Macaca mulatta: one gene and its partners. The protein of the gene in region 1 purifies or fractionates together with the protein of each later gene. This does not show direct contact. Links are inferred from orthologs where the notes say so. Each region holds a gene or a part of one and is shown in the gene's direction. Other genes may lie near its edges.

What was found.
Region 2: the proteins of DCP1A (region 1) and PNRC1 purify together in Homo sapiens (affinity purification with mass spectrometry; 3 studies listed by BioGRID and IntAct, with this or other methods). This does not show direct contact. The link is inferred for Macaca mulatta from reciprocal best matches to the Homo sapiens genes DCP1A and PNRC1.
Region 3: the proteins of DCP1A (region 1) and EDC4 purify together in Homo sapiens (co-immunoprecipitation; 9 studies listed by BioGRID and IntAct, with this or other methods). This does not show direct contact. The link is inferred for Macaca mulatta from reciprocal best matches to the Homo sapiens genes DCP1A and EDC4.
Region 4: the proteins of DCP1A (region 1) and UPF1 purify together in Homo sapiens (co-immunoprecipitation; 4 studies listed by BioGRID and IntAct, with this or other methods). This does not show direct contact. The link is inferred for Macaca mulatta from reciprocal best matches to the Homo sapiens genes DCP1A and UPF1.
Region 5: the proteins of DCP1A (region 1) and DDX6 purify together in Homo sapiens (affinity purification with mass spectrometry; 8 studies listed by BioGRID and IntAct, counting the BioPlex papers as one, with this or other methods). This does not show direct contact. The link is inferred for Macaca mulatta from reciprocal best matches to the Homo sapiens genes DCP1A and DDX6.
Region 6: the proteins of DCP1A (region 1) and BAG4 purify together in Homo sapiens (affinity purification with mass spectrometry; 4 studies listed by BioGRID and IntAct, counting the BioPlex papers as one, with this or other methods). This does not show direct contact. The link is inferred for Macaca mulatta from reciprocal best matches to the Homo sapiens genes DCP1A and BAG4.

The regions. Positions count from the first base shown.
Region 1 is NC_133407.1:116,872,377-116,875,876, reverse strand, and holds part of DCP1A (mRNA-decapping enzyme 1A), read left to right. Parts: intron 1-1,214; coding exon 1,215-1,433; intron 1,434-1,831; coding exon 1,832-1,912; 3' UTR 1,913-3,500. UniProt on the Homo sapiens protein: Necessary for the degradation of mRNAs, both in normal mRNA turnover and in nonsense-mediated mRNA decay. Removes the 7-methyl guanine cap structure from mRNA molecules, yielding a 5'-phosphorylated mRNA fragment and 7m-GDP.
Region 2 is NC_133409.1:96,904,720-96,908,752, reverse strand, and holds the start of PNRC1 (proline-rich nuclear receptor coactivator 1), read left to right. Parts: upstream 1-1,233; 5' UTR 1,234-1,276; coding exon 1,277-1,819; intron 1,820-4,033. UniProt on the Homo sapiens protein: Nuclear receptor coactivator. May play a role in signal transduction.
Region 3 is NC_133425.1:63,458,635-63,461,377, forward strand, and holds the end of EDC4 (enhancer of mRNA-decapping protein 4), read left to right. Parts: intron 1-178; coding exon 179-344; intron 345-428; coding exon 429-615; intron 616-707; coding exon 708-927; exon of another isoform or gene 928-960; intron 961-1,253; exon of another isoform or gene 1,254-1,312; coding exon 1,313-1,476; intron 1,477-1,698; coding exon 1,699-1,891; 3' UTR 1,892-2,243; downstream 2,244-2,743. Other genes in the region: NRN1L (neuritin-like protein), read left to right, coding at 2,653-2,743. UniProt on the Homo sapiens protein: In the process of mRNA degradation, seems to play a role in mRNA decapping. Component of a complex containing DCP2 and DCP1A which functions in decapping of ARE-containing mRNAs. Promotes complex formation between DCP1A and DCP2.
Region 4 is NC_133424.1:19,389,249-19,393,478, forward strand, and holds the start of UPF1 (regulator of nonsense transcripts 1), read left to right. Parts: upstream 1-1,430; 5' UTR 1,431-1,712; coding exon 1,713-1,943; intron 1,944-4,230. UniProt on the Homo sapiens protein: RNA-dependent helicase required for nonsense-mediated decay (NMD) of aberrant mRNAs containing premature stop codons and modulates the expression level of normal mRNAs.
Region 5 is NC_133419.1:119,470,672-119,474,751, reverse strand, and holds the start of DDX6 (putative ATP-dependent RNA helicase DDX6), read left to right. Parts: upstream 1-1,280; 5' UTR 1,281-1,347; intron 1,348-1,502; exon of another isoform or gene 1,503-1,590; intron 1,591-4,080.
Region 6 is NC_133413.1:40,115,730-40,119,923, forward strand, and holds the start of BAG4 (BAG family molecular chaperone regulator 4), read left to right. Parts: upstream 1-1,394; coding exon 1,395-1,664; intron 1,665-4,194. Other genes in the region: U6 snRNA-associated Sm-like protein LSm1, read right to left, coding at 1,222-1,396. UniProt on the Homo sapiens protein: Inhibits the chaperone activity of HSP70/HSC70 by promoting substrate release. Prevents constitutive TNFRSF1A signaling. Negative regulator of PRKN translocation to damaged mitochondria.

The DNA.
Region 1 (3,500 bases):
GTAGAGACGGGGTTTCACCATGTTGGCCAGGCTGGTCTTGAACTCCTGACCTCAAGTGATCCTCCCAGATAGGCCTCCCAAAGTGCTAGGATTACAGGCATGAGCCACCGCTCCCAGTCATAACTGGATTTTTAAATTCTTTTTTATTGCAGTATGATTTACATACACTGAAATGCAGATTTTTAGAGTCCAGGCATGGTGGTTCACACCTGTAATCCCAGCACTTTGGGAGGCCTAGGTGGAAGGATCACTTAAGCCCAGGAGTTCAAGACCAGCCTGGACAACATAGTGAGACCTCATCTCTTACAAAAAAATCAAAAATGAGGGGAGGATTGCTTGAGCCCAGGAAATTGAAGCTGCAGTGAGTGGTGACTGCACCACTGCACTCCCACCTGGGTGACAGAGTGAGACCCTGCCTTAAAAAAAAAAAAAAAAAAATGCAGATTTTTTTTTTTCTTTTTTTTCTTTTTCTTTTTTTGGAGACAGAGTCTTGCTCTGTCACCCAGGCTGGAGTGCAATGGGTACAGTCTTGGCTCACTGCAACCTCCACCTCCTGGGTTCAAGCGATTCTCATGCCTCAGCCTCCCGAGTAGCTGGGATTACAGGCGTGCACCACCACGCCCGGCTAATTTTTGTATTTTTAGTACAGATGGGGTTTCACCATGTTGCCCAGGCTGGTCTCGAACCCCACCTCGGCCTCCCAAAGTGCTGGGATTACAGGCATGAGCCACTGCGCCCAGCCAAACAACACAGATTTTTAAATGAGTTTTTGACACATGTATGTATTATCCCTTAGGCAACCCAATCAATATGTAACATTCTGTCACTCCAGAAAGTTCCCTCATGTCCTCTTCCAGTCATTTCCCCAACTCCCCTCCCAAAAAGCCTTTACATTTTGAATTTATCATAGGATTTTTCTTACTGTGCATTCTATACCGTTATTTCTCTTACCTTCTGTGGCAGTTGGACTTGGCTTCCCGTAACGATTCTAGGACGTTCTTATATAAATGGGCTCGTCATCCCTTAGCTCACGGAAGTTTATAACCATATGCTAGATGTTCAAATGCTCCTACTGAATGTTTACCTGAACCCGAAACAGTCTGTCTCTGGGCTTCACTCTTCTGCTGCTTGTGCCTGTTTCCACATGCTCCTTATTCTGGGCCTGGCTACTGGCTTCTGCACTTTGGTACAAAATGACCATTGTTCCTCTCCAGGTTGCAGGCGCCCCACTGGTTACTGCAACGACTACTGCAGTGTCTTCAGTCCTGCTGGCCCCAAGTGTTTTCCAGCAGACAGTTACAAGGTCTTCAGATCTTGAGAGGAAAGCCAGCTCTCCTTCTCCTCTAACTATTGGAACGCCAGAAAGTCAGAGAAAGCCTTCCATTATTCTCAGCAAGTCTCAGCTCCAGGATACGTTAATACATCTCATAAAGGTATGTAGGATACCAATTTTATCTTTGATTTTTCATTACTTAATAAAAGAAATTGTATACATTCCTCCTACAGAATCAGTTCATAAAGTAAATTCAAAAGACTAGCTGGAGGCCGGGCAAAGTGGCTCACACCTGTAATCCCAGCACTTTGGGAGACTGGGGTGGGCAAAAAAAAAAAAACAGACTGGGAGTACTGTTTCTCTTTTTTCAAGCATACCGTCCTGGTGGAGAAATATCTGCGCGAACTCAATATATTAATCATGATTGTCTCTGGATGGTGGGATTATCAGTTATACAAATCATTTATACAATTTTTTTTCCTAAGCTGTTACCAAGGAAGTAAAATCTGTTGAGGTAAATGTGGCATTCGTATCCTTAACCTTTCCCATCTCTTCTAGAATGATTCCAGCTTCCTCAGTACACTTCATGAAGTCTACTTGCAGGTGCTGACCAAGAACAAAGACAACCACAACCTATGACTGGAGCAGAGTAAGTCTAAAGGCCGAGTGCTAACCTCAGAGACAAATAGGCTTCATCATGGAAACTTCTGAGCAGAACATCGAGTTTGAGAATCCTGAAATTGAGCCTATGAGAAAGAGACTCATTTCTTAAGAATGTTTTCCAAGTGACATTCTCAGTGATAATGGAGGTTTCACTGTGAAGCATCACCAGCAGACCTTTGTTTTGACAAAAAACAAAATCATTGTGTTAAGTTATGTGGGTGTTTTCATCAGCTAGGAGCAAGGCTGTGGAATAAGGAATCTGATTCTCAGCTCGCTTTCACTTTCAAGGACTTACAGAGGAGTAGTCACCAGCCTCACAGCAGAAGTTCAGCCTGGCCCCCACCGCTTGCCCCAGCCTACCCCATAGAAACAGGCTTTGGGCTGACAGTCAAGTTCTAAACAGAGTAGAAGGCAACTCTGCAAAGTAGCTTCGAGCTTTTAGGACCAGAATTTAAGCCGGCAAATTGGGAATGATTTCCTCAAGTGAAATGTATTTTATATGAATGCCCCATTTGGGCCTTAAAAGTTGTGAAATTTCTTAATAGTGTTTTGTTTTTAAGTGCCCCAGTCCTGCCCCGCAGCAGGCCCCCAGTGCAGCATTACCGTTTGAATAGGGCACTGTCAGGCTCTGGTGGTGTGGACACAGGCACGTCACACCTTTGAAGGAAGGCTGAAACTGGGAATGCCCACATCCTATCAGATCTTCATTTTAGGTTGAACTCTCCAATGGTTCTGAAAATGCTAAGTTTGTGTGTGAAGCACAGCCTTATTTTCCTTTTCTGTCATTGTTGATTGTTTTCCTTAACACTTTGACAAAAGGACCTGTGGACCAATCTGACAAAGCCATCCTGGTTCCTTTCCTTGAGTGTACTGAGAATAGTTTTAAAGCTATGCAGAAAAGGGAGCTGTTATTCACACTGCCCTTATTTTGTTGTAGAATTATGGAGTTAAAAGAAAATGTGATTCCAAACTCTACCAATGTATTCCTAGGCTGTGAGTACTTTCCCAGCCCAAAGTGTGAAAATATGTAAAGAAGCTTTGTTATGCTGCTATTGATCTGCCATGATTTCTATTTATTCTTTTATAGCATGTAATGGTGTTTAGTAATATTTTAATGTAGATTTTGATTTATTTCAGCAATAGTAATTTTAAGATATTCTTTGAATGAAAGTGTCTTTGTTTCTATGATACAGGTCATTTTGTAGTATTTAACCAATTAAGATGCACTGCTTACTTTTTATGAGCACTATTTAATGATGGGGTAAAAACCCAATTGGCTCAACCAGCTAGCATAAGGATTAGCTGTGAATAATGCTGACAGATATGATGGTTCCTTGGGAACAATCATTTAAGCTTTAATGGTAACTCAATCATAAGTCCATAGATTATTTTTTTCTAGCTGAAATTCTAGAAAATTACTTGTGAATTACATACTTGTTTTAGTTTGGTCTTAGTTTTTAGCATAAAGAATGATTGGCTTTTGTTGATCTAAACATGCTTCCTGGACAGGGTTTCTGCTTCTCATTTTAGTGTCTTCTATTGCTGTCTACCTAATTATGTGTGA
Region 2 (4,033 bases), on another chromosome or scaffold:
ACAGGAACAAAATGCCTTTAAACAATTGCCCCAGGCATTAGTAGTGAAATGAATAGAATGACAGCCTGCCTACTTCGCAGAGCTGAGGTCTGATCTATTTTTCTTAGTACCTATTCATAAGAGTTGTTGTGAGGTTAAAGTGAGACAATTTATGTAAATAACAGTTCCTGGAACATAAATGCTTGATAAATTATGGCCACAATTCTTTTCTGTGGTTGAGCAGTGCGGGGAGATCATGAGAAATTTCTATCTACACGCAGCTAACAAAATACTCTGTATATTGCAGAACTGTTTCACTTTCTCCCTTTGAGATGCAAGCCGGATTGCCGCCTCCTCAAGTAACCAGGCACAATGTTGCGATCCCAAAGTCTCACAATCCTTCAACTATGAAGTCAGTAAAAACTCCAGCTTCCATTTATGGATTTACGCAGAACTTTTTATACATTGAGGGACTAATTCAATCAGTAAGTCGCTTTGATTTTTACTCTGATCACCGGGACTAATAAGCAGCGATGCCGAACCAAGTAAACGAAAGAATCGTGAGCCACACTTCAGTAGATATAATTTAAATGTAGACTGATTTTCTCCACGATTGCTAGGGAAGAAATCCTTACGGCGTACTTAGAAATCTTTATTTTAAAATGATAACGCTGTTATGTTGGGCTGAAAATAAAACGGATACTTCCCCAAGGTCAGCAGCGGAGGCGGCAACCGTGGCCTTGCCAGAGTCGTCCCCCTCTTCTCCGCCCCCGTTCTTCCTGCCGCCCTCCCCCTGCCCCCTCCCTTCCCCACCCCCATCAACAAACTCCGCCGGGACCTTTCAATCCCACCACTCCCTAGCCGGGCGAAGCGCGGGGGCGTGCTGGGGAGGGTAAGGAGGGTGGGGCGGAAACCCAATTTCATTGTTCCCGGGACCGACTCTTCCCGAAAGAGCTCCCTGGCAGCGCCTGCGCAGTGCGCGCTCTTTGTGCCAGGCTGCAGCAAGCTGGTTGTTTGTGTGTGTCTACCCAAAGCGGCGGAGGCGGAGCGAGGGGGCGTGGCCTGCCTTGTCGCACTCTGATTGGGCTTTCGCAGGGAAGTGGGCGGGCGCGGGGCGGAGCTTCCGATAACAACACTCGGAGCTGGGGCTGTGGCTATTTGTTGCTGCGCCGCCACCGCCCGAGTCATGTTCCGCGATCTTCTCTGGCTCTCCTAGCAGCATCCATCGCCGTCACCCTATTTTCACTGGCTTCACCTCCTTCTCTCCTCGTTGCTGAGCGACAAGCTTCCTAGCGCTATGACCGTCGTCTCCGTCCCGCAGCGGGAGCCGCTCGTCCTGGGTGGCCGCCTTGCGCCGCTTGGCTTTTCCTCCCGCGGTTACTTCGGGGCCCTCCCGATGGTGACCACGGCTCCGCCTCCTTTACCCCGGATCCCGGACCCCCGGGCACTGCCCCCGACCCTCTTCCTCCCTCACTTCTTAGGGGGAGATGGCCCGTGTCTGACTCCGCAGCCTCGCGCTCCAGCAGCTCTGCCCAACCGCAGCCTCGCCGTGGCGGGAGGCACCCCTCGGGCAGCGCCGAAGAAGCGGCGAAAGAAGAAGGTGCGGGCCAGCCCCGCAGGGCAGCTGCCCAGCCGCTTCCACCAGTACCAGCAGCACCGGCCGAGTCTGGAGGGCGGCCGGAGCCCGGCGACCGGCCCGAGCGGAGCAGCGCAGGAGGTTCCGGGCCCGGCCGCCGCCTTGGCCCCGAGTCCTGCAGCCGCAACCCGCACGGAGGGAGCCAGCCCCGACCTTGCCCCGTTGCGGCCCGCGGCTCCCGGCCAAACCCCGCTCAGGAAAGAAGTAAGGGCTGCCAGCGGGCCTTTGGGGAGTCGGGCCCTTAGACGGTCGCGGCTGAGCTCTGGGGCTGCAGGTCCTGCACCGGGGGGGTCGGACGGGTGGGGGCGGGGTGGGGGGGCGGCTGTTTACTCGGGAGGGAAGTTTCCGTGACGCCCTCTCCATTCTTGCTTTGGGGGAAGAAGGGGGAAGGGGAGGCATGCGCTGGTGCTTCTGATTGGCTCCCAGGAGTCGGCCAATGAGAAGCGCCGCTGCGCCCCAGCAACAGCCCCGATTTAGAAGGCTGGCGGCGTTCCAGGGGGTTTCGGCGTTCCGGGCGCGCGGCGGTGTGGGGGCAGGGACGGGGCCCCCGGGAGGGCTGACGTCAGCGCGCGCTACGTGCCCGGCGCTACGGCGCCCATGAAGGAGGCGAGGCCGGGTGTGGGCGGCCAGGGAAGGACGGGGCCCCGCTATCGGCCTCCCGGCTGTCGAGAGCCCCAGTCCTAATCGGTGAAACGCGGAGACGGATTCTGACGTCCCGCCGTGGGGGGTGGAGTGGGCTCTGAGCAGCTCGGTTTCGTTTGGAGTTGTGCCGAAATATGAGGTGCCCCGTGTGGGACGCGCAGTCCAGCTGGGGCTCTGCCCGCCGCGGGCTTGACCTACTTAATGGTTTCTTCTAAGTTCGGAGTTGGCAGGAGCCGCACAAAACTGATTTTATTACCGTTGCCACTGTGTACTTCGTGTTAGTGTGTCCAGAAGAAGTTTTCAGAAGAGTTAGCGACTGCTGATTGCAGTGCTATTGGATTAGAATAAAATGGATAGAAGTTTAAATGGGATTAAGTCTACGAAATGATTTCAAAGTCTTGTCAAAATAACGTTTGATGGACTTAAGTTCAGTGACTCTTTTCGAAATAATGAAATGAAAAAGTTCCCGCTATTTAGTGAAGAATGTTGCATTGAATTAGAGATTTGCAGTTTGTCTGTGCCCTTGGGAAAAAATTACTAAATTTGCCCACCGTGTTTAACCTATCTTCTCAATGTCTCCCACCTTTTAAAATTACACGACTTTTGAAATATCCGTGATTACCTAAAAGCTTTTGTGCTTGTTTCCTGGCCTGTTTTCTAGAACAGCTACTAACCAGGGAGCTCTGGCAGTGAACCTACAGACGTGGAAAGTTGTGCTCTACTTTCGTGTCGTGTCGTGCTTACTACCGTGTTACAAGCGTTGGTAGTGCAGTGATCTAGTGGATTACGTTATGATTTTCCATCTGGTCAAGACTCCTATAAGGCCCACCTAAGTTAGGAAAGATTAAGATCAGTGAAGCAGCGTTCTTGAAACAGTTACTAAACCAGGAAGTGGGGGGTACACAGCAAACATTGTTTCTGGCACTGATATTTGGAAGAGAGCTCATTAGTCTAACTTAAAGTTGTAGAAAGGTCGGCTTGGGTTATTTCAGATTTTTTTTGTTTGACATTTTAGAACTGGTTCACGTTGCATACTGGTAACTAGCAGTGGTGATTAACTGCATTTTTAGTGGCAAACAAGAGTGAACTTAAAAGTCAAGGGAAAAGTCAAGTTTTTTTTGTTTTTTTTCTTGAGACAGGGTCTGTCTCTATCGCACTCCAGGCTGGAATGGAGTGGCACGATGGATCTCTGCTCACTGCAGCCTCCCCATCCCAGGCTCAAGGGATCCCGCCTCAGCCAGCCTCCCAAGGCACGTGCTACCACGCCGGGCTTATTTTTATATTTGTAGTAGACATGGGGTTTTGCTATGTTGCCCAGGCTGGTCTCGAACTCCGTGAGCTCAAGCGATCCACTTGCCTTGACCTCCCAAAGTGCTGGGATTACAGGCGTGAGCCACCCTGCCCAATTAAAGTTTTTGTAATTGCAGCTCTTATTTTATTTATCCAGGAGGTACTTGAGCAGGTTTGTTACATGGGTATATTTCGTAATGCTGAGGTTTGGAGTATGAATGATCCCATTCCAGGTAGTGAGCATAGTACCCAATAGGTCCCCTCCCCTTCTAGTAGTGCCTAGTGTCTGTTGTTGTTCCCCATTTTATATCCATGTTGTACCCAATGTTTAGCTCCCAAATTCACTTACGAGTGAGAACTTGTGATATTTGTTTTTCTGTTTCTGCATTAATTCGTTTAGGGTAATGGCCCCCAACTACATATGTATTGCTACGAAGAACATAATTTTGTTCTTTTCTATGGCTGTGGGCAAACTTAAACACAACA
Region 3 (2,743 bases), on another chromosome or scaffold:
CCAGCTAATTTTTGTATTTTTAGTGGAGACAGGATTTCACCATGTTGGCCAGGGTGATCTCGATCTCCTGATCTCATGATCCGCCCGCCTCGGCCTCCCAAAGTGCTAGGATTACAGGTGTGAGCCACTGCGCCCAGCAGGCTCAGGTTTTCAACTTGGCCCCCTCTTCTAACCCCAGAACTTGACTGATGCCATCGCCCGAGCAGCTGCAGACACATTACAGGGGCCGATGCAGGCAGCCTACCGGGAAGCCTTCCAGAGTGTGGTGCTGCCGGCCTTTGAGAAGAGCTGCCAGGCCATGTTCCAGCAAATCAATGATAGCTTCCGACTGGGGACACAGGAATGTGAGTGGGGTCATATGGCCCAAGGTGGGAGCGGTTATCCTCTTTCCTTCTGTTCCTCTTATAGTCCCTGTGGTCACCCCTCAGACTTGCAGCAGCTAGAAAGCCACATGAAGAGCCGGAAGGCACGGGAACAGGAGGCCAGGGAGCCTGTGCTGGCCCAGCTGCGGGGCCTGGTCAGCACACTGCAGAGTGCCACTGAGCAGATGGCAGCCACCGTGGCCAGCAGTGTTCGGGCTGAGGTGCAGCACCAGCTGCATGTGGCTGTAGGCAGGTGTGTGGGCAGAGTACTGGGCAAGGTGGTGGGCTTGAGAAAGGCCAGATTGGGCTCCCTGTTCACTTCACCTCACTCACTTCCCTTTGCAGCCTTCAGGAGTCCATTTTAGCACAGGTACAGCGCATCGTTAAGGGTGAGGTGAGTGTGGCGCTCAAGGAGCAGCAGGCCGCCGTCACCTCCAGCATCATGCAGGCCATGCGCTCAGCTGCTGGCACACCTGTCCCCTCTGCCCACCTTGACTGCCAGGCCCAGCAAGCCCATATCCTGCAGCTGCTGCAGCAGGGCCACCTCAATCAGGCCTTCCAGCAGGTATGATAGGTGTTAGGCCCTGGTAAGGGTCACGTGTCTCTTGACAAGGCCCACACACCATACATTCCACCCACCAGCTTTGCACCTTCTGGTCCCAGCAGACTGTTCTTGGTTCCCTTTGGCCTCGAGGCCATTGTCCCTGCTGCTTCCTCTTCCTGGACCCCCTTCTTCCCACCTAGCCCACCTTGCTTTACAACTACCCTTCTCAGGAACCATTTCCCAATCCCCTAGGGTAACTATACAACTCTGCGGGGCTCTCTCTGAGTCCCTCTGGAGCCCTCACTAGCGCACCCCGTTGTCTTCCTCCCTCAGGCCACACAGTTCAGATAAACAGACATTCCATCCTGATATTTGCTATAAACACTGCTCTTTTTTTCTCCTCCAGGCACTGACAGCTGCTGACCTGAACCTGGTGCTGTATGTGTGTGAAACTGTAGACCCAGCCCAGGTTTTTGGGCAGCCACCCTGCCCACTCTCTCAGCCTGTGCTCCTTTCCCTCATCCAGCAGCTGGCATCTGACCTTGGCACTCGAACTGACCTCAAGCTCAGGTAAGTGGGGGCAGCCAGGAATGGGGAGATGAACTGGGGAGTGGGGGAGTAGGAGCGAGCAGTTTGAATCTGACACCCACTTCTGCCTGAATCCTCTCCCTAATTTTCTCCACCAATCCTCTCTGCCCTCACCCAGAGGGTTTCCTCTGGGCTTCAGTGCCACCAGGGGGCGCTCCCATCTGCTGGTGCCCACCTGTAGCCTGTCCTTTCCCCCATCCCCAGCTACCTGGAAGAGGCCGTGATGCATCTGGACCACAGTGACCCTATCACTCGGGACCACATGGGCTCCGTTATGGCCCAGGTGCGCCAAAAGCTTTTTCAGTTCCTGCAGGCTGAGCCACACAACTCACTTGGCAAAGCAGCCCGGCGTCTCAGCCTCATGCTGCATGGTCTTGTGACCCCCAGCCTCCCTTAGCTGCTAAGCCTGCCTTGCCCAGGGGTGGGATGGCACTGAAGGCCATCAGACAGGCCTAGGCCGAGGCAGGGTCACGGCTGGCCTTTACCTGCTCAGGCCCCCATCTCTGGGGTGTTTGGGGGTCAGGGAGCAGGGAGCACTGGCCGTGGTCTACAGGGTGTGGTAGTCAGAAGGTTTAGGCTGGGCCCAGGGCAGGTATTGTGCCTGCTTGGGTTCTGCCATGCCTGGAGCATGACCCTGAGATCGTGACACCACTTGAGTGGAATTTTCCATGTTCCTTTTTACCTCTAATTTGGATCTTTTTGTTTTTGAAAAATGTTGAGAAATTCAATTAAATGCTTTTGGAATAAAATGGAGTATGTGTGTGCTTTTGGCTTGTCTTTGGTGTGACTCTCATAACTGCCCTCTGTTCCTTCCCTGCCCCTCTCTTCCCTGTGGAGCTCTGTCTAGGCCAACCCAGCCAAGGGGCGGGGTTACCCACTCATCTGCTCCAACTGCCTTCCCAGATCTCCCTTCTCCCTCCTTTTATGGGGTGAGGGTCCAGGGGCCTGCTCAGCACCAGCCTGTGCTCCTGGGAATTTCTGCTCTCTGAGGTCCCTTCTCGCTCCTTTTCCCATTTGGGTGTTGGAGGTGGAGCCGCCGGCTGGGTTCGGAGCCCCACCCCCGGCTTCCATCCAATCACCGTCCCTCCCTCCGGGGGCTGGGCGGACGGGCTGCGCTCCAAGCTGCTAGCTCTGGCACTAGGCTCTCAGCCAGGGACGATGCGCCGCTGCCACTGCCGCTGCCGCTGCTGCTGGCAACCACCCCGTGCCCTGAGGCCGTTGCTGTTGCTGCCCCTCGGTGAGTGCGGGC
Region 4 (4,230 bases), on another chromosome or scaffold:
GGTCTCGCTCTGTTGCCCAGTCTGGAGTGTAGTGGTGCGATCTCGGCTCACTGAAAGCTCCATCTCCCGAGTTCATGCCATTCTCCTGCCTCAGCCTCCCCAGTAGCTGGGAATACAGGCACCCGCCACCAGCCCAGCTAATTTTTTGTATTTTTAGTAGAGACCGGGTTTCACCGTGTTAGCCAGGATGCTCTCAGTCTCCTGACTTGGTGATCCGCCCGCCTCGGCCTCCCAAAGTGCTGGGATTACAGGCTTGAGAAACCGCGCCTGGCCTACCTCACTTGTATAATTTCACACAGCTGATAAGTGGTTAGCTCTAGATTCCACCACACACCATGTGCTTCCTGTTGTTTTGCTGTATATGTCCACTAAATAATAATCATAGCAAAAATAGTAATTGTATAATGACAGCGGCAGAGGCATCAGGAACAGCAGCAACCATCATTTCCAAGTGTCAGGCCCAGTACCTAAGACTATCCCCATTCATTTATTTTTACTTATTTTTGAGACAGGGTCTCGCTCTGTCACCCAGCCTGGAGTGCAGTGGTGAGAACCACCACACTTAGCTAATTTTTTTTAGCTAATTTTTTTTTTTATTTTTTGAGACGGAGTCTCACTCTGTCGCCCAGGCTGGAGTGCAGTGGCACAATCTTGGCTCACTGCAAGCTCCGCCTCCTAGGTTCAAGCGATTCTCCTGCCTCAACCTCCCAAGTAGCTGGGACTACAGGCTCGTGCCACCACGCCTGGCTAATTTTTTGTATTTTTAGTCGAGACGGGGATTCACCGTGTTAGCCAGGATGGTCTCGAGTTCCTGACCTCGCGATCCGCCCGCCTCGGCCTCCCAAAGTGCTGGGATTACAGGCGTGAGCCACCGCGCCCGGCCTAAGTTTTGTATTTTTTGTAGAGATGGAGTCTCACTCTGTTTCCCAGGCTGGTCTCGAACTCCTGAGTTCAAGCCGTTCTCCCGCCTCAGCCTCCGAGTGTTTGGGATTACAGGTGTGACCACCGCGCCGAGCCCCACCCCCTTATTAAACCAATGCACAGGGAGCATCTACTATGTGCGAGGCACCCCCCATTTTACAGATGGGGAAACTGAGTTCCAAGCAGCTTTTGCCAGGAGTGGGAGCGCGTCGTCCCTGCCCAGCCTCTCCAGTTGGGCATTTCGAGATCACCTACGTAGGCTATTCGGCTAGCGCTTAATTAAACCGAAACACTGTCGCAGCGACCACAGGTGCAGACCACCAGGTCCACACCACCCGCCGCCCGGGAGTCCCCGATTAGCAGTTGGGGCGGGACCAAGTCCTCGAGGGGCAGCCGCGACGGCGGTTGAAAGCCTCACCCCCTGCGCGTGCGCGTTGAGCGTCCCGTCGTCCCGCTGGGCACCCGGCGTCCGCGAAGAGCGCGCGCGCTTCCGCCGGCGTCGGGCTCGCGCACGCGCACGGCGACGGCGGCGGTGGCGGCAGTTCCTGCCCGGGGCTGCGAGCGGCGGGCGGCTTCGAGGGGAACTGAGGCGCGGAGGGGCTCGGCGGCAGCGGCGGCGGCTCGGCGCTCTTACATCTCGGTTCGGCTGGCGCCGGGGAGGGCGGTTCGGTCCTTTCCAGGCGTACGGGGACGACAGCGGCAGCGAGCCGAGGCCTGCGGCCTAGGCCTCAGCGCGGCGGCGGGCTCGAGTGCGGCGCGGAGCCGGCCCGAGGGCCCTACCCGGCAGCACCATGAGCGTGGAGGCGTACGGGCCCAGCTCTCAGACTCTCACTTTCCTGGACACGGAGGAGGCCGAGCTGCTCGGCGCCGATACACAGGGCTCCGAGTTCGAGTTCACCGACTTTACTCTTCCTAGCCAGACGCAGACGCCCCCCGGCGGCCCCGGCGGCCCGGGCGGTGGCGGCGCGGGAGGCCCAGGCGGCGCGGGCGCGGGCGCCGCGGCGGGACAGCTCGACGCGCAGGTGAGCGGCACATGGCGGCGCCGGAAGCCCGGGCCTTGTCTCGGCGCCTGAGACCTGTCCCTAGCCCGTCTCGGGCCGGGCCTGGGTTTGCCCGGAGTCCCCCGTCGCGGCCGGGCCTGGGGCGACCTGCCCCGGGTCCCCTACTCCGGCTGGGCCTGAGCTTACCTGCCCCAGGTCCTGCACTCTGCCCGGGCCTGGCCTGATCTGCCCCGGGTCTCCCGCTCCGGCCTGGACCTGGCTGAGTTCCTTCGGCCCCCAACTCCTGGGCTGGGCCGACTTGCCTCGAGTCCTCCACTCCGTTCGGGTCCGAGCTAACCTGACCCTCTTCCTTTACTCCGGCTGGGTTTGCTCCTCCGCCTGGGCCCGGGCTGACCTGCCTTGTGTCCCACAACCAGCCTGGCCTGGAGTAACCTGCCCTGGTCTGAGTTCTTCCACTCCATCCGGGCTAGGGTGACCTGCCCTGGTCCCTCTTTCTCAGGTCTCGGTTTTCTGCCCCGAGTTCCCCTACGGCCTGGGCCGGGTCTTGCTCAGGCCGGATCTTGAGTGACTTCCCTCAGTCCCCTTCCGGGAGTATCCAGGGTGACCTGCCCTAACCCTGTCTCTGGCCTGGTCCGGGGATTCTGCCCCGTCTCCCCAGTGGGGGGTCCGGCCGCACTGTCCCACCTCCCATCTGTGGTCACAGCCATCTGGGCATCCCCCCTTCCACAGTCACGGAGCCGTAGGTTCGAATTTTCCCAAGCATAAGGGCGCTGGTCAGCGGAAGATTGAGGCAGGGAAGAATTTTTGCCTCCCATAGAGGAGCACACATTGGCTGGCTATTAAGATCATTCAGGAAGCAGTTTGTATTTTATTTTTTCTTGCATCGCCTGTTGCTGAAACCGACCTGTTACATAACTCCACAACTCTTGCCTTGGAAAAGTTGGGTTTGAGTTTTGTTCCTCCAATAAGACAGCAGTAATGGGTTTACATAAATGCGTCTGCCACGTTGGAAACTCATTTTTAATGATGTGGATGTTTAGAGAAGGTTACTTAGGTGTTTAAATGGGGGCTTGGGTTGGGAGAAGTATCAGGCATGCATTTCCTGGTCCTGGGTGCTGCCTGCCTGGGGTGGGAGAGGGGCTGGGGGGGCGCGGGTTGCACCGGGCTCCAGGGGCATGTCCTCATCATCCTCTGGATCTCAGGTTGCTTTCACTTTAGGGTTGCTTTGTGCCTGACCCCTCGCTCAGGTTTATTTTCCTGACAGGGAGTAACTCCGAGGCTCACCTTGGCACAGGTGTCCCTTGGCATGTGCTGGTGTTTCAAAGCTGGGAGAACCACTCCTTGCTCATCCTGAGTGAGCTCAGACCCTGTCCTTGCATGAGGGGGGCTTACTTGGTAGTCGGCTGAGTCATTCCCGTGGGTAGACCACCCACTTGGGCTTCCTTTTAGCCCCTAATGGAAGCAAGAAACATTTGACTCATTCTAACCCCATATTCCTTAAAATAGAAAGTTGGGTGTGAGGAGAACAGGTGTGCACGTATGGGTGGTTTTTTCAGTTTTGTTTACATTTTGTGAAGGTGGGGAGGGAGAGAGGAGAGGTCCCTTGAAGAAGGGAGCAGGACCTGCGGAGGCCCCGCCTCCTTGTAGTTTTTATGCCCTGTAGACCTTTCTGCTTCCGCAGCTGTGAAATGGGGGTGGCAGTTGGATTTTTGTTCCTTTTAAACATAAAGGAAACCTAGATCCATGTGTGAGTCGACTGTATAGGCTGTCTGTAATCTGACGTCCAGCCTGTCGGGGAGACTCAGGGTAAAGATCTCTGTGGAGCAGTGAGCCATGAGCGTGACAGCGCGGATAGAGGGGTTGGCTGGTGTCAAAGGTAATCATTTTCTTGTGAATCCTTTTAACTGTGGCCAGCATAAAACAGCAAACCTGGGGCAGCCTTTAGTTCTACTTTTGTTTCTGGCATTCCGTTTGGGATTAAGTGTGGCGCATGTCCTTCTCTTTCAGTTGAAACAATTGATTTTTTTCCGTGCACCTGAACACACTGGGCTGTACAAAAGGAGAGCATTAAAACGCTCCCCTGGAGGTAAACATTGCAGTTGAGCTCACTAGAGTTCTGATGACATCAGATGGTTTGTCCTGTGCTACTTTTAATTGACCCAGATGCCCCACCCACCTGTTACCTGTAATTTGGATTTGTTAGTGGGGAATGGGAGTGGCATCCCTTTGCATCACAAGGGGAAGACCGGAGTTTGGGGGCAAGGAAGTCTATGTATATAATTCAAGGGAAAGCGGAAGAAAGTTATCA
Region 5 (4,080 bases), on another chromosome or scaffold:
TCCCTCCCTTTGGGGGAGGGCCCGGCCTCCTCCGCTCCCACTTTCTTGAGTTCTTGAGTCTTGCCCTTCGACGGCAGGAGAAGAGGGTTGCGCCCTATCAACTCCTCACTTTACAGTCCAGCTTCTCCCCCCACCACTCCGGTGAGCTACCCCTGCTCCATGCGTTCCGGAGTAATCCCCCTCAGTCGCACTCTCACAGCCCGGCCCCTGCCCCCACCTCATCCCCAGCTGTGCCTTCACCTCCCGGTTCCTCCCCAACAGGTCCCCCAAGATACGCCCTCACAGTCCGGTCCCCCGCCGTCCTCTCCCGGCGCACGCTCAAGCCCGGTGCCTTCCCCCCGCGGCCCCCCGAGGCGCACCCTCAAGCTCGGTGCCTTTGCCCCACCCGGCCCCACAGGGGCGCCCTCAAGCCTAGTACACTTCACATGAGAGCCCCTGGGGCGCACCCTCAAGCTCGGTGTACCCCCCCATACAACCCGCAGGCGCGCCCTCTTGCCTGGAGCCTTCCCCCGCCCAGGCACACCCTCAAGCCCGGTGCCTGCCCCCACCCCCAACCAGCCCCCCAGGCGCACTTTCAAGCCCGGAGCCTTCCCCTAGCCAGGCGCGCCCTACTGGCCCGCCCTGCCCCTCCGCGAAGCGCCCCCCGCGCGCTCCCTGGAGTCCTCCCTCCTGCCTGTCGCGGCCTCCAGGCCCGGTCGGCCCCCCTTCCGGCCCCCACACTCAGACGCGTGCCCCGCGTCTCCGGGCCGCTAGTCCCGCGCCTTCCTGGATGGACGCGGCCCCTTACGCCCGGCATCAGCCTCCCCGGCTAGCACGAGAAGTCAGGTCAGCTTCCTGTCCCCAAGCAGCTGCCCGGGGGCCAGTTTTCAAAACATAGCCTTAGACATGTAATAAAGAGATGCTCCTCTGGTCTCAACTCCCTATTTTTACTTTGGAGGGGCGAAGGCAGGGCTACCCTTGCCAGCCACCATTCCCCAATCACTTCGCAGCTGTGGAAAAGCAGCCGTCCTGTCCCTTCAGAAAGGAACTCATATTTCCCCCTCGAACTTTTCTCGTCGGTGTGAGAGAAGGGCCCTCCATTTTCTCCTCAGGAGGCTTTTGCGGCCCGGCTTCCTCTCACCACCAGGCCGGGAAGGCAGTGACGCCGCGGCGGATGTAGCCGCGGCGGCCGAGGTTTCGCCATCTTGAGTGGAGGAGGAGCCGCGGTCGCCGCCATGCGGAGAGGCAGGGAAAGAGGGAGGAGGCGGCGGGCAGGCGAACGGGCGAGCGAGGGAGGGGACAGAGGAGCCGAGTTAGCTCAGCCCGGCGGCGACTTCGGCGGCGCCACGAGAGCGGGCAGCGGAGGAGGTAGGGCTGGACGGCCGGGGGAGCCGGCGGCGCGGGCGGCTGGGCTGCGCGCCCCTCGGAGCCGGGTGGGGGCGGGGGCGGGAGGAGGCCGTAGCGAGGGGGCCGAGTGGGGGCGGGCGGAGGTTTCCGAGGAGGAAGGAGCGGCCGCCATTTTGGGAGCTTCGAGTCAACAATAAAGGACCGAGGGTGCCGAGCGGGAGTGGCCTCCTTGGTAGGACACGGGCCCGAGCCGCGAGGCCTGGGGTGAGGTGGTGGGGTCGAGGTCAGCGGCGCTGTGGGGGCTGCGGGGAGTCTCCCGGGCCGGCTCTGGGGGACTCTCTTGGGCGGAGGCCTAAGGCCTGGCCGGGCCTGGGGAGGAAGGCGGGCGGCAGCTGTGTGGGGTGGGGGCGCCTGAGAGGAGGCGAATATAGGAATGTGGTGCGCGGCAGGGTCGGCAGGAGGAGCAGGCTAAGTACTCGGAGGAGCTTTATCGAAGATGAGGGAATATGAGGCCGAAGGGGGCGGCAAGGACTTAGGGGGATGATGGTGGAGGTTATAGGGTACGAGGCGGCCCTATAGGGGGCGGCAGGGACATGCTGTATTGGAAGGCTCGGTTTAGAAGCGAACTGACCGCTGCTTGATTGCGGTAGGCCTTGCAGGTCAATAACAAGAGGGTGTATATGGAGCCCCAGACTCTTGGAGGAAAGGAGGGGGATTTCTGGGTTGGGGGGTCCCTTTGGGGCCTTCTTGGGGGAGTCCCTATTGTTTGCTACTGATGGAGCTGGTTGCCGGTTCATATTGCGCAGATAGGATTGCAGAGCCCAACCTTTTGTGTTTATGGTCAGAGGGAGCTGACTTGACGTGTGTGTGTTTGGGGCGAGGGGCAGCAGGGGGGAGGGCAAGAAATTTCCCTACAATTGTGGGGCTCCAGTCATTGACTTGTCTCTTTCCCTTATCTCTTTCTTTTCCCTTCCACAGCCCCCCTTTCCCTTCAGAATAAAACCCAGTCACTCCAACTTGCAGGCAAAGCTTAGAAAAACTGCGCTGCATTTGCAAACAAAAGCTCTTGTTGGCGATGACGATACTGTTTTGGGTGTGAAACTGTCAATTGCTAACTATGATCTGAGAAGTGCTGTAATTAACTCCGCTAGGGGCTCCTCCCAACTAGTCTACGTTTCTAGTCTGTTTCTCGTTTTTTTGTGTTTTGTTTTGTTTTGAAAATGGAGAAAGATAACTTGAAAATATAAATTGGGAAGGAATAGGAGGAATATTTCCTTCTCTGAGACAAAGCTGCAGTGCAGGTTTCAGTTTAAGGGAGCAGTTATCACATAGTCTCATTTTGGATTTAAGGATATAGGTCTTACTGTGCATGATGGACAGTAATGATGATATCGTTCGGTCTTTAGAGGTTGCCCTTTTCATCCTCTTAGTGCTCTGCAAACAGCTAAGTCTCTGTGTGAACTGCGTGATGTCGCTGATCATAATATAAACCCGTCAATACAGGAAAGTAGCTGTTAACCATATCTGCTTAAGATGTCAGAAGGACTTTAAAGTAAACAACTTTGTGTATGTGATAATCAGGATTTGCTTGTGAGCAACTTGTTCTTTTTTTTTTTTTTTTTAAGGAAGGCATAATCAAGGAGCATTTTCTCATAAATTTTGAGATCTGTTGACTTTAAAATTTTGAGTTTCACATGCCTTGGTGTATGGCAGAAAGAATCAGCACTCGTAAGCTGTGTATTTTATGTAAGAAATGTGACGGGGTTGCTGGGTGCGGTGGCTCACGCATGTAATCCCAGCACCTTGGAGGCCAACCAAGGCAGGCGGATCAGCTGAGGTCAGGAGTTCGATACTAGCCTGGCCAACATGGCAAAACCCCGTCTCTCCTAAATATACAAAAAATTTAGCTGCGCGTGGTGGCGGGCGCCTGTAATCCCAGCTACTCTGGAAGCTGAGACAGGAGAATCGCTTGAACGCAGTAGGCGGCGGTTGCAGTGAGCCGAGATAGTGCCACTGCACTCCAACCTGCGTGACAGAGCGAGACTCCGCCTCAAAAACAAAAACAAAAAAGCCATGTAACGGGGTTAAATCAAAAGCCAACAGAGTAGGGCTTTGTTTTCGGGTCTTTGTATGTTTTTATTAACTACAATTAAGATTTCAGCCGGGCACGGTGGCTCTCGCCTGTAATCCTAGCACTTTGGAAGGCTAAAGCGGGCAGATATTTGAGGTCAGGAGTCTTGAGACCAGCCTGGCCAACTTGATAACACCCCGTCTCTACTGAAAAATACAAAAGTTAGCCGGACTGTAATCCCACCCAGCTACTTGGGAAGCTAAGGCATGAGGATCGCTTGAACCCACGAGGTGGAGGTTGCAGTCAGCTGAGATCGGGCCACTGCACTCCACCCTGGGCAACATGTCTCAAAAGTAATAATAATAAATAAGAGTGGCTGGGGGGGTGGCTCACGCCTCTAATCCCAGCACTTTGGGAGGCCGAGGTGGGCGGATCACCTGAGGTCAGTTGTTCAAGACCAGCCTGGCCAACATGTCCAAACTACGTCTTTACTAAAAATACAAAAATTAGCTGGGCATGGTAGCGCATGCCTGTAATCCCCAGCTACTCAGGAGGCTGAGGCAGGAGAATCACTTGAACCCGGGAGGTGGAGGTCGCAGTGAGCTAAGAGCGTGCCATTGCACTCCAGCCCGGGCGACAGTGCAAAACTCTGTCTCAAAAAATAAAATGAAAAATAAAAGTAA
Region 6 (4,194 bases), on another chromosome or scaffold:
GAAACAGTAAGTTAATGAGAAAGATCACGTGATTAAAACAATAAAAAATGTTGCTTGAGGAATAATACACAGATAGAATTTAGAAAAAATGAAAGCCCGGACAACTGCAGGCGGTTCTTTCCGCTTTTGTATAGGACTGAGCTCCTCTTCCGGACAAAAACTAGGAATAAAGGAGGTCTTCTTAGTAAAAGCAAAAATGAATTGTCTTAAAAAAAAAAAAAGGTTGCAAGTGATTTTCCAGAAAAGTCAATACCATGTCTAACAGTGGTCTCTACTACAATAACCTGAAGGTGCTAATGACCCTCACAGTAAAATAAGCTAGCAAATAGCCACACCGTAGAGCGCCTACGTTTACTGCCAATCAAGTCCAACTGCTGCTGTCTTAATATTTTTGCTTTTTAATGAATCCTTTCTCTAGGTATTCCGATCCATCCACCGGTAACACGCTGATACTTCGAAATACTGCAGGCAGGAGGGGACGGGGGAGAAGCCCCCCCCCGGGCTTCTTTCGTGTTCGGGCCTCTGCTGCCGCGACCCACGAAAGTACGAATGAGTTCCATCGCTTGGGGCTCACCAGCCAGAGGGCTGGCGGAGGCTGCGAGGGGCAGAACAAGTAGCAGGCTACTGGGTGGGCAAGCGGTGTGTACCGCAGCTGTGGAGGACATCGACGCGGAACGCCCGGATTGAGCTCAGAACACACCGGCCCCGCCCGGGACTCATTCTACAAGCTTCTTCGGAAGAGGCGCCCGCCCGGGAGGGTCTCACCCCAGGCTCCACCGGGAGGAGATGAACTACTCACTGTCAATGTCCTCGATGAGGCTGGCGGTGCCGGGCATATAGTTCATTTTGAACTGAAATAACGCTGCAATGCACAGCGGCGGGGGGCCAGCGCGTCCAAAACCTCCTCCCTCCTACCGCAGTCGCCGCCTCGGCGGGACCGAGCCCGGAATCCCGACCGAGACCAGCACTTCTGCCCCGGCTTTCAGCCGCCGGGGCCTGCCGGAAGCTCCTCCATATTACCCCCACCCACTTCCTGTAACACGTGCGGGCCCCCAGGAAGAGGAGGGGCAGCCGTACGGTTGGGGGACACCCTTTCCCTGTTCCTGTTAAGTAGGGAAGAGGCATCTCCATTGGATAGATGGCGAAGAAACGTATACTCCCTCTTAAGGAACACGGTGTCTTCCCTCGTCCCCGGGTTCCCGAGACCCCAGAGTCACGGACCTCCGTCCCTCAGCTCTCGGGGCTCGGCAGCAGAAGGGGCGGGACCGGGCCTGGGATTGGCTGGCGTCGTCCGACCCCCTTCGCTGCTCTCCATTCGCAATCGCCCGCGGGCGCCTGCGCGAAGGGTCGGCCGTGGGGCGGGGGGCGGGAAGCGCTTCAGGGCAGGAGAGCCCATGTCGGCCCTGAGGCGCTCGGGCTACGGCCCCAGTGACGGTCCGCACTACGGCCGCTACTACGGGCCTGGGGGTGGAGATGTGCCGGTGCACCCACCTCCACCCTTATATCCTCTTCGCCCCGAACCTCCCCAGCCTCCCATTTCCTGGCGGGTGCGCGGGGGCGGCCCAGCGGAGACCACCTGGCTGGGAGAAGGCGGAGGAGGCGATGGCTACTATTCCTCTGGAGGCGCCTGGCCAGAGCCTGGTCGAGCCGGAGGAAGCCACCAGGTAAGCTTTGCACCCTCTGTCCTTGCGGGGAGGTGAGGGCCCTTGGGGCTGGGATTCGTAAAGGATCGGGTTTCATATTTGTTTTCCTTATGTGGAGGAGGGTCGGGGAGGGGGGATGTTGGAGAGACCGAGACTGGGATCAGAGGTTGGGGGATATGCTTGTGTTCCCTTTGCCCCTCCTTTTCTGCGTCGACCGCAAAAAATACGTTTATTACCATTTAAAAAAGAAAGATCCTGCGCGGGCTTACTAAGCTTGGCAGCAGGCTGCAGATCTCTCTGCTGGGAGCAATGCTGGGTAGGGGTGGCACGGATCTGCTGCTCCAGCTCTAGCAGTTTATCCTGCGTGACTGGCAGTCCGGCTCTCCCCGGGAAGGGAAGTGACTGCAGCCCCCGATGTCGCTCAGTGACCCTCCCGAGGGGAAGGAACCTTTGCGAGGGGGAGGTTCTGGGCATTTAGCGTTTGCCCCTAATGCCTTGCCTGAGATCGAATCGTGAATAATCAGTGTTGTAAAGCACCTTTACGCGGATTGACTGATTTAATTTTCACGGCGACTGCAAGGTAAAGTGGCATTACAGCAGCCCCCGCCCCCCGCCCGCTTTTTTTATTTTTTCGAATAAGGAACCGGGGCTCTACGAGGTTAACTCACTTGCCTAATACGCTTGGACCTGTAACATTTTATTCTGTTTTCCCGCCGGACATACACTTCTGCTTTCTTAATGCAGTCTTCTGGGTAGTGGGTTGCCGTTCTACGGTGGCGGCACACCTCTCTATTCGTTCAAGAATTACCCTCATTTGTTGAAAATGTAATAGTGAAATTCCCGTACATTGCTGGTGGGGATGTAAAATGGTGGAAAATAGTTTGGTAGTTCCTCAAAACATTAAGCATTAGAATTAGTATAACACCCAGGAAGCCCACTCTTGGCTATATACCCAAGAAAACTGAAAACATATGTTCACATAAAGCTTGTCCACCCTTGTTTCTAGCATCATTATTCATAATCGCCAAAAAGTGGAAATGTTATTTATTTATTTTTTGTTAGATGGAGTCTTGCTCTGTTGCCCAGGCTGGAGTGCAGTGGCACCATCTCGGCTCAGTGCAACCTCCGCCTCCCGTGTTTAAGCGATTCTCCCGCCTTAGCCTCCTGAGTAGCTAGGATTACAGGCGCCCGCCACTGCGCCCGCCACCGCGCCCGCCACCACGCCCGTATAATCTTTGTATTTTTAGCAGAGAGGGGTTTCGCCATGTTGGCCAGGATGGTCTTGAACTCCTGACTTCAGGTGATCCCCCTTTCCCCCGTTCCTCGGCCTCCCGAAGTGTTGGGATTACAGGCATGAGCCACTGCGCTCGGCCCCAAATGTCATTTTATTTGGGTTATAATAAAAGAGTGAACCTCTCACAGCCCTGGTTCTTTATTCGAATACAGGAATGTTGTAAGGACATAACGACTGATGCATCAATAAACAAAATATGGTGTTAATATATTCATACAATGGAATATTTGGCCATAGAAAGGAATGAACTACTGATACGTGTTACAATATGAATGAACCTTGAAAACATCACACTACGTGAGCAAAGTCAGTCAGAAAGACTGCATATTGTGTCATTCCATTTATATAAAATGGCCAGAGTAGGTAAATCTAGAGACAGAAAGCTTAATGGTTGCCAGAGGTTGGGGGACTGGCGGTGTAGGTGAGAATATGCTTTTTGGGATGATGAAATGTTCTAAAATCAGGGCCTGGTGAGATGGCTCTCACCTGTAATCAATCCCAGCACTTTGGGTGGCCGAGGCCAGAGGATTGCTTGAGTTCAGGAGTTTGAGACCAGCCTGGGCAACATAGTGAGACCTTGTCTCTAAAAAAAAAATAAAAAATAGAAAACAAAAAATAAGAAATCTTCTAAAATCAATGATGATGGTTGCACAACTCTGAATATACTAAAAACTACTGAATTGTACATTTTAAAAGGGTAGAGTTTATAGCATGTTGATTATATCACAGTTTAAACAATTGTATGAGAAATACATGTAGCAGTGAGAAATTATTTTTTATTTTTGAGGCGGAGTGTTGCTTTGTTGCCCAGGCTGGAGTGCAGTGACACAGTCTCAGCTCACTGCAACCTCCGCCTCCCGGGGTCAAAGTCTCCTGCTTCAGCCTTCCTAGTAGCTGGGATTACAGGCACCCGCCACCACGCCCAGCTAAATTTTGTATTTTAAGTAGAGATGGGGTGTTGCCGTGTGGGCCAGGTTGGTCTTGAACTCCTGATCTCAGGGTATCCTCCCACCTTGGCCTTCAAAAGTCCTGGGATTACACATGTGAGCCACAGTGCCCAGACAAGATTGATTATAAATTAAAGATCTGGCTGGGCACGGTGACATGCCTGTAATCCCAGCACTTTGGGAGGCCATGGAGGGCGGATCACCTGAGGTCAGGAGTTCGAGCCCAGCCTGGCCCACATGGCAAAACCCCGTCTCTACTAAAAATACAAAAATTAGCCGGGCATGGTGGCGGGCGCCTGTAATTCCAGCT